Linked DNA regions of Drosophila melanogaster. The protein of the gene in region 2 interacts with the protein of the main gene of each other region in a pairwise test. Each region holds a gene or a part of one and is shown on either strand. Other genes may lie near its edges.

Evidence for each region.
Region 1: the proteins of Cdc37 (region 2) and Su(dx) interact in binary tests that used the Drosophila melanogaster proteins (3 or more experiments, as listed by UniProt).

Annotation. Positions count from the first base shown.
Region 1 is NT_033779.5:2,035,515-2,039,438, reverse strand, and holds the start of Su(dx) (suppressor of deltex), read right to left. Parts: upstream 1,726-3,924; 5' UTR 1,215-1,725; intron 912-1,214; exon of another isoform or gene 798-911; intron 1-797. Other genes in the region: lectin-22C, read left to right, coding at 2,192-2,983; CG42296 (uncharacterized protein), read left to right, coding at 3,503-3,557, 3,875-3,924.
Region 2 is NT_037436.4:1,793,728-1,797,651, reverse strand, and holds Cdc37 (cell division cycle 37), read right to left. Parts: upstream 2,261-3,924; 5' UTR 1,953-2,260; coding exon 1,920-1,952; intron 1,860-1,919; coding exon 1,656-1,859; intron 1,475-1,655; coding exon 815-1,474; intron 799-814; exon of another isoform or gene 751-798; coding exon 478-750; 3' UTR 345-477; downstream 1-344. Other genes in the region: CG12020 (uncharacterized protein), read right to left, coding at 1-287. UniProt on the Drosophila melanogaster protein: Co-chaperone that binds to numerous kinases and promotes their interaction with the Hsp90 complex, resulting in stabilization and promotion of their activity. Required for cytokinesis and chromosome segregation in mitosis and male meiosis.

The DNA.
Region 1 (3,924 bases), on a different chromosome or scaffold from region 2:
TTGGTGAAATAAACTGCTCGAACAAATTGTGAGCTGTAAAATCGGCGCTAATGTATGTACAGTGCAACTCGGTCATATATGAAAGATAAAAATTATGCTATTTCAAGCGAAATTAATCATGACCAAACTGGGTAAACAGTTTATTAAAAAACTGAGTAATGTTTCTGATCCCAAAATATATTCTTTGACTAAGTGAGGCTAGAGTTCTAAATTATTGAAAGAAACTTGTATTACTATAGAAATTCCCCCAAATAAATATATAAATGCACTGATAAGTGCACTTGATTTCGTGGACTTTAAACTACTGGGAAGCACCGTATTATCGCCTATTAATTTTCTCCATAATTTGCGACTGCCACGGCTGTGTGCGTGTGTGTTTCCCTGTACTTTTTCGTACACACTCAGCACCGATTGCTGGTCATCCATAACTTTGATAGCAAACACCCCGCTACACAATAGATTGTATAATAATGTTGCCATGTGAGTCATCGGCTCAACGCGAAAAAGAAAACGGCAAGTGAATTCGGTTTCAATTGTTGAATGGCTATTGCATATTGATTGTGTGCAGGAAGCAACATGGCCGATATGGCGATACACAAGCCCACAAATAAGTTATTTTGTTATATATCGTCAGAACTGAAATCTCAATGCTTTAATGACTTCTTCGCTTTGCTTATCGGCATGCTGATAACTACCATGATTTTCTCGCTGTGTACCGTTCGCGATTTCTCTTTTGCTAGCGTTTTCACTACATTAATTAACCGAGAACACGTGAGCAAGTGCAGCTTGTTGTTTACCATTAGTGTCTACTCATCAGATTCTGTGACCGGATTGAAATCGATTTGGAAGGGCTTTGCATGGATCTGAATGGGACACAGTTCTCCGATCAATTAGCACGCACTTTCCGGCTCATTTCGCCTATCATTCGAGCGCTTATCAGTGGGCCGATGAACAAAGGGAAGCTATCTGGTGGGGCAGCCGGAGCGCGAGCCAAGCGAAGTAATCAGCAACAGCTGTCAATAAGCCTAGAATGCACTTCTCGCTCGATGGATGGGGAGGGGTGGTGGAGGGAGGGGAACTTGAACTTCCTTGAATTATCGACCGCAGGGCTTAGTCACCCACACAGCGCCACTATGCTACAGTACACACATATATATGTGTAGATATATATTTATTCGTGGTCATGTAACGCACGCCAGAAAGAAGGTAACTACCTCTCCCACTCCCACTCCTTCTGTGGGTGGGCGTGTGTGTGTTTGTGTGTGTGCGCTTGTAATTGAGGCAAAGGTCGCGACTTCCGTCCCGCTCGCACTCGCTGCCGCCGCTCTACCGCTGGCGAATTCCAATGCAAGAGGCGTTCCTTTTTGTTTTTAGCAATTTCTGGGGGTTTCTCCTCCTCCGTTTTCCTTTCCTTTCTACCTGTGTCTTACCTTCTGCTGCTTCTTCTTCTGCCTCTGGTGCTCCTACAACTTGCGCCTGTGTGTGTGGTTGTTGTCTCCTGTGTGCGGCTGCATGTGCGAGTGTGTGTGCGGGATTCTTAACTGGGTTTCCCGGGCCCCAAAATTGATGGCTGGATTATTGCACTAGTTGGCGCTGCCGCCCTCGCTTTGGTCCACGTAATCGCGAGCAGTTGATATCGCTGCACTAATTGTTTATTTGTTATTTTGCTTCGCTTGCAAGCAGCAATTTCTAGAGCTGCAACTTTGGACGATGTTTTTCGATACAACTGATGTGGCCACTCAGTGCGCGAATCGATAGGTTGAATTCAATTGGCGAGGCTTGTTATGCACGCTAGACTGGGTTGGCGTACTCGCTATATTGCCAACTTACATGTTCAACCAGAGTTGCCGTACAAGCTCAAAATGGAGTAGCCAACCAGATTTGAAAATGACCGCGAATAGGAATTAGGAATAAAAATAAGAACGTATTGCCCGTAGTCACAACAAAACAAAGGTAAATAATTAGCCAAAAAGTTATGCACCAGCTAGTACTTCTGGCCCCTCTGATTTTATTGGAATCTAAGCTTATTACTCCATATAAATTAGAAGCCCCCTGAATATTCATTACTCAGTTGCGTTGCTCATTGAATTTCTTTAAATGTTATTTAATTTTGTGGTGCTATTGAATAAATATAAAAGCGCGGATTCAGTTCATCGAATAACATAGTGTTTGGCAGTAAAAAGTGCTTACAATGCTAAAATCCGCAAGTGCTTTGCTATGTGGTCTTCTTGCTTTAAATTTGTATGGAGCTTGGGCAGAATCCGATGTGATTTGTCCTTTAAAGGACCCTCCTAGTCAATGTGGAGGATTCTGTCTGGGTGTACTTACGCCCGTGTTAAATCACCTGACCATTTCCCAAAATCTGGCGAATTCCAATAATTCAAGCAAGGCTAACGAGGTCCTGGTGAGACAGTACACGATGGAAGGCCAACTGACTGCTCTGCAGAATAAGCAACTAAGCATTGAAGTCGCACTGGATGCCCAAGGCAGAAAACTGAATGTTAACGAACAGAACTTTACTGAACGACTGAATTGCATGGAAGGCATACTGTCGGCCCTGGAGAAAACAGTCCTTGAAGTAAAAACCAAAATAAAATACCTCGGATTCGAGCAAATCGGCTCAAAGTACTATTACATAGAGAAAGTATCCGAGAAGAACTGGTCCACTGCTTCAAAAACTTGTCGCAATATGGGAGGGCACCTGGCCGACATTAAGGACGAGGCAGATCTAGCCGCCATCAAGGCGAATCTCAAGGAGGACACGCATTACTGGCTGGGAATCAATGACTTGGACCACGAGGGAAAATTCTTGTCCATGCCCACGGGCAAGCAGACTACCTTTTTGAAATGGGCCTCGGGGAGACCCTCTCAGTTGGACACCCTCAACTGCGTGTTCCTATACAACGGGGAAATGTACGATTACCCATGCCACTATACTTTCCGGTTCATTTGCCAGACCGAGGAGGAAGATTTAAATGTATGATTTAAATAGAAACCACATGAGAATAATAAAACCTTTGCTGATGCCGTAACACCTGTGATTTTTTATTCAATCCCTCAAGCCTTCATTAGCTTATCTCTATTACTCACTTTATGGTTACTAAATTTACCAGTTTCACGTTATATTGCACTTTTAGACAAACAAACTGCGCACAAAAAGTGAAATTTCCTTGATTCTCCGATCTTTCCAGTAGCACAAAAACTATTTGTTTAAACAATTATTAGCACTCGTTTTAAATACGAGCACTGAGAGCGGAGAGTCCAAGAAAATTCGTCGTATACCATGTTGTTTGTTCGCTTTCGGACTTTTTCACACATTGTCAAGAGTTTCAGAGAACGCGGCTCAAAGTGAAAATTATCAAAATTTAATGTGCCGACCGCTCCGCATCCGCAGTCATTCGTATCGCGGGCTTCGAACGGAGCAGATCGGAACTTACGGCTACGGACTTCGCACTACGGTCGGGAAGGATTACGCGAAGAGGATACGCGAAAAGGATACGCGATGAGGCAGCTGCTGGTTTACGCGTTGGTCGCGGGCTTGTTTTACTTTTCCGAAGGTAAACTCCACCAGCAAGTGTATTGTGCCAGATTTAAATCAGTTTTGGTTTTCCTACTTTCAAAGGAAAGTGTTCATGAATTCATAAACGTAATTCACTGAAGTATCCTAAAAAATAAAAAATGCCTTGAAATGAATAGTTACAATTATTACAAGAAAGTGAATAGCACCTTCCATTGCTTTAAAAATATGTACAAAATGAAACCATGTAGGAAAACCAAAACTTATTATTCGGAAATCTCCGCTAAAGTCGAAGTGCTTTTCCCATGTTAATGTGAACATTACTCCTTTTCCCATTTCCGCACTGGCTTAACGCAGGCAAGCCGTGCCCCGAAAAGACACGCCCCCACAAAACCCGCTGCGACGCC
Region 2 (3,924 bases):
TCGAACAAACCCGCCTCGCCAAAGCGATCGTATATGGCCCGGTACAGATCGTTGCCCAGCACATCGAAGGCCATGTTGACGTAGGCCCACTGCCTGGGCTCGCCCATGGGTGAGAGGTGCGTGAGACGACCCTCCTGGGCCAGCGGCACAAAGTCCTGCTCGTCCTTCTTGTCGCGATGTGGGCAAAGCCGAATGGCCAGGCGGCGGTAGGCCAGAGTAATCTGCTCCTTGGTGGCGCCTCTGGGCTGATCCAGCACCGCGTAGTAGTCCAGCTCCGGCCGGTTCATTGTTTCTATTCGGAGTCGAAGCGTATAACAACTGGCAGAAGTGTTCACAGAATGTTTGACGTGTGACTGAGAATTTATTCAAATTATATACAATAACTCAACTGACGCAGGATCTGGCTATGGATGAAATATGCTTGTGGACAAATACATTAAGATTAGAGCTATGGTGTAGATGGAAACGTGGCGGCGATCAGTCAACGTCCTCGGTGCTGACGCCAGTGTAGATGGGCTCCTCCTTGGCTGCACTCTCTGATTTGGCATCGTCGGTCTTCTCCTCGCCACCGGCGACGTCATCCGAGTCATCTTCCTCCTTCTTGTCACCCTCCAAGTCAGCGGCATTGGGCACCCAGAGACCAGAGTCCACACAACGCTTCATGTGCAGCTTGGCGACGTCCACGGGCATGGCCGCAATGGTCTTCTGCAGCAGCTCTACGTCGCGGGACTCGAAACAGGCCTTTAGTTCCTGCGGAGCAAATACATGAAAAGTTAGTCAAGTAATTCCCATACAGTGAATCACTAGAACGTACATCGGGCAGGGATTCAAAGACATCGGCTGGGTCCAGACCACCAGGTCCGAGGCGCTCCTTGCGCTCCTCCTCTTCGGCCTGGGCTATCGCCTCCTGGATCTTCTCCTGCGCACGCTTCTGGATACGTCCTTTGAAACCTTCGATCTCGCTGTCGAACTGCGCGCGGTACTCGGGATGACAGTGCTGGATCTTTGAGAAGAAGGAGCTGACACAGGCGCGAGGATCCACGTCCAGCTGTTTGGCCAACTCTAGAATGTACTGCATGCAAATGCACTGATGCGCCACGTGGGCCATCAGCTCGTGCTTCTCCTCCATTTCCAGGTTGATGGACCAAATGACTAGGTAGTTGGCCGTCTCCTCGCCCACCAAGTGAAGATGCTCCTGCAGAAACCGCTTCGAATCGTCGTACTTGCGCAGCATGCCATACTGCTGGCAGAGCTTCTCGTTCTCCTTGACGAATTGCTTCATGCGCTGCTCTCGCTCTTCCTCGGACAGATTCTCATCCGGCTTGCGGCCGGCCTTCTTGTTGATTACGGTCTTCTCAAAGCCGGGCTTGCTGATGGTGTCCACGTTCCAGGGTGTTTTCTTTTCCTTCTTAATCATCTCGCTCTCGATGCGGTCCAGCTCTTTGCCCTCGGCCTCGATCTTTTCGAGCTCTTTCTGTAGGCGATACAAATTAGGGATTAAGCATTGCGATGAAAGATGGATGGCCACTTAGGATGATAGTCAATCATAAGCTTGACAATAAGAATAAATTAGATGGATTGAGAACATAGGGAACTCCCAGACCAGGCATTAGCCTAAGCAACAAGTGCGCAGTGCATTCGGTGCAATGACCCACCTTCAGGGCCTCCTCGTCGCCATCCTTCTTTGAGATCCGCTCCTTGACGTCCATGAGGCGCGCCTGGTAGCTCTGGCGCTTTTTCTTAAGCTCGTCCTTCTCGTGGTCCATCTCCGCCATGCGCTCCACGCGCGCCTGGTGCCGCCAGCGGAACAGAGAAGGCGTGTCTATGTTTGGGTGAGTGTCGTCCTCATCATCCGAAATCTAAAAGGTAGTGTGCCGATTAGGAGGACTTTTTGGGTTGGCACCCAGCAGTGGGCTCACCTCGATGTTCTTCCACTTGCTGTAGTCCACCATTTTGCTGTTTCTTTGCTTCGGATTTATATTTGAATGTAAATGCTGCAGGTTTTTGTTCTTTTTCGGCTGCTTCCTTTTTTTGGATTGCTCTGGAAATTAGTGTGACCGCAGGGCTATTGCGGAATAATACCATAATAAGCCCCGCTTACTCTGGGGCCGCGCTAGGAAATAGTAGTCATGCATGAGTGCACCAGATTGAATTGAAATACCCTGTCGTTTTTAATTTATTTACATCATCTACTACTACTCATCTACATCTACTAGAAAAATAATGAGATGACTAAGGCGCCAAAGCGACCAGAAAGAGAACTATGTTTATAATCGATTGACATCGATAGAAATCGCGATATTGATGTCAATGTTCTGCGCCAATCGGCCGACATATTGAAAAAAACTGCGGTCCCGTGAAATAGAGGCGCTCCGTGAAAATTACGAATAACTACTGCAAATCAATAGTTAAATTAACAAAGTAACTGTGAACAAATAGATTGCCATCAAAGTGTAAGTTTCTACATAGTTTTCGTCCGTAGCTCACTGTTAGTTGGGTTCAAAATGCAATTGAAATTCGGTGTGCGTGCAAAGTGAAAATTTTTCGGGTCAACGCCACACCCTCGAAGGCAACACAAAAATCCAATTAACGGGGCTAAAGTGAGAGAAAAGTCTTGGCCATAACTGAAAAGCTATGCTGTGCAATGTCACTGCTTGATTAGTAATAGAAATTTTGAATTTCTTTCAAAATTCTTGACTCCAATTGCAACTTAAGAAAAAGTATCTGGTGCTCCTGTTGTGCATGTGTGTGTGCGGTTACGCAGGAGTAGAGAACGCTGTGTGTGTGTACGTCATCGGGTGGTGGTGGTGGTGCGGCAACTTCAGATGAGAGAAAGCGGGAGAGCACACTCTCCCTCTCTTTGCTTGTTTGTGTTTCCAAGATATTTAAGTACGAATAAAAAAAAAGCAAAGTGCTTGCCTTACATATGCCAAAGTTTTGGGTGGGCAAGTGTCCTTGACTTTCTTGAAGGCCTGTGTTTGCATAGGATATTTTTGTTTGCTTGCCAGGCGATTCCGTGTTCGTAGTAGTCTTGCGTACCAGTTGATTTTTTGTGCCTCTTCATTGATTGCTCATAATTCCAAAGCGTACGCATTACGTCATCCTCTGCTATTTTCTGATAGACACTTCAATTAATGTTTCGCTCTCTCCGTCTCTTTCTATTCGCTCTCTTTTTGAGGTGCGATCTCTCGCAATTGCCGTTTCTGATGTTGTTTTTGTTTGCCACCGCGATAAACAGTTAAATTGGCCTGCCTGTGTGTTTGTATGTGAGCTCCAACATTGTATGGCTGCCAAGCCCTGGGCTGTTGCCATCTCCCTCTGATTTATTTCAATTTCCTGTGGCAAAGAGTGTTGTTTGTTTGTTTCTCTGCATGCTGACCCACCCTCTCCCCTAAATGATGTCATTGCTTGCTCTGCTGACCCCTTCTAAAGGGGCGATTTTGAAGTATTAAGTATTAAAATCCGGACATTCCACGGATTTCCTTATCGTTAGTGCTAATTGTATTTCATGTTACTCTATTGACAAAAATTCACTCCTTGGCTTTTCTCTATTAATCATTCTTGGCCAATCTTAACTATTTTACCTTCTGTGTAGTGTAGCTGAGAATTTCAGATATTTCTCTGCTTTTCTTATCTGAGTTGTTTTTTTTTTTTTTTTAGCACTAAAAATTGGAAACTATTAGAAATGTGATTTTATGGGCTATCAACTAAGTTTGGAAATTAAAATAAATGATATCTTATAAGAATTCATAGAAAATATTTATACTTTAACAACAAAAAATTGTTGATGCAATATTTAGATACTTTTAGAAACCTACTATTCTTTTATTGTTAAGGTTAATACCTTTACAAATTTGTTTAGCATACATGTGCGTTTTTCCAAACCTGACCTACAAATATATTCCTCATAATTTCCCGCCTAAC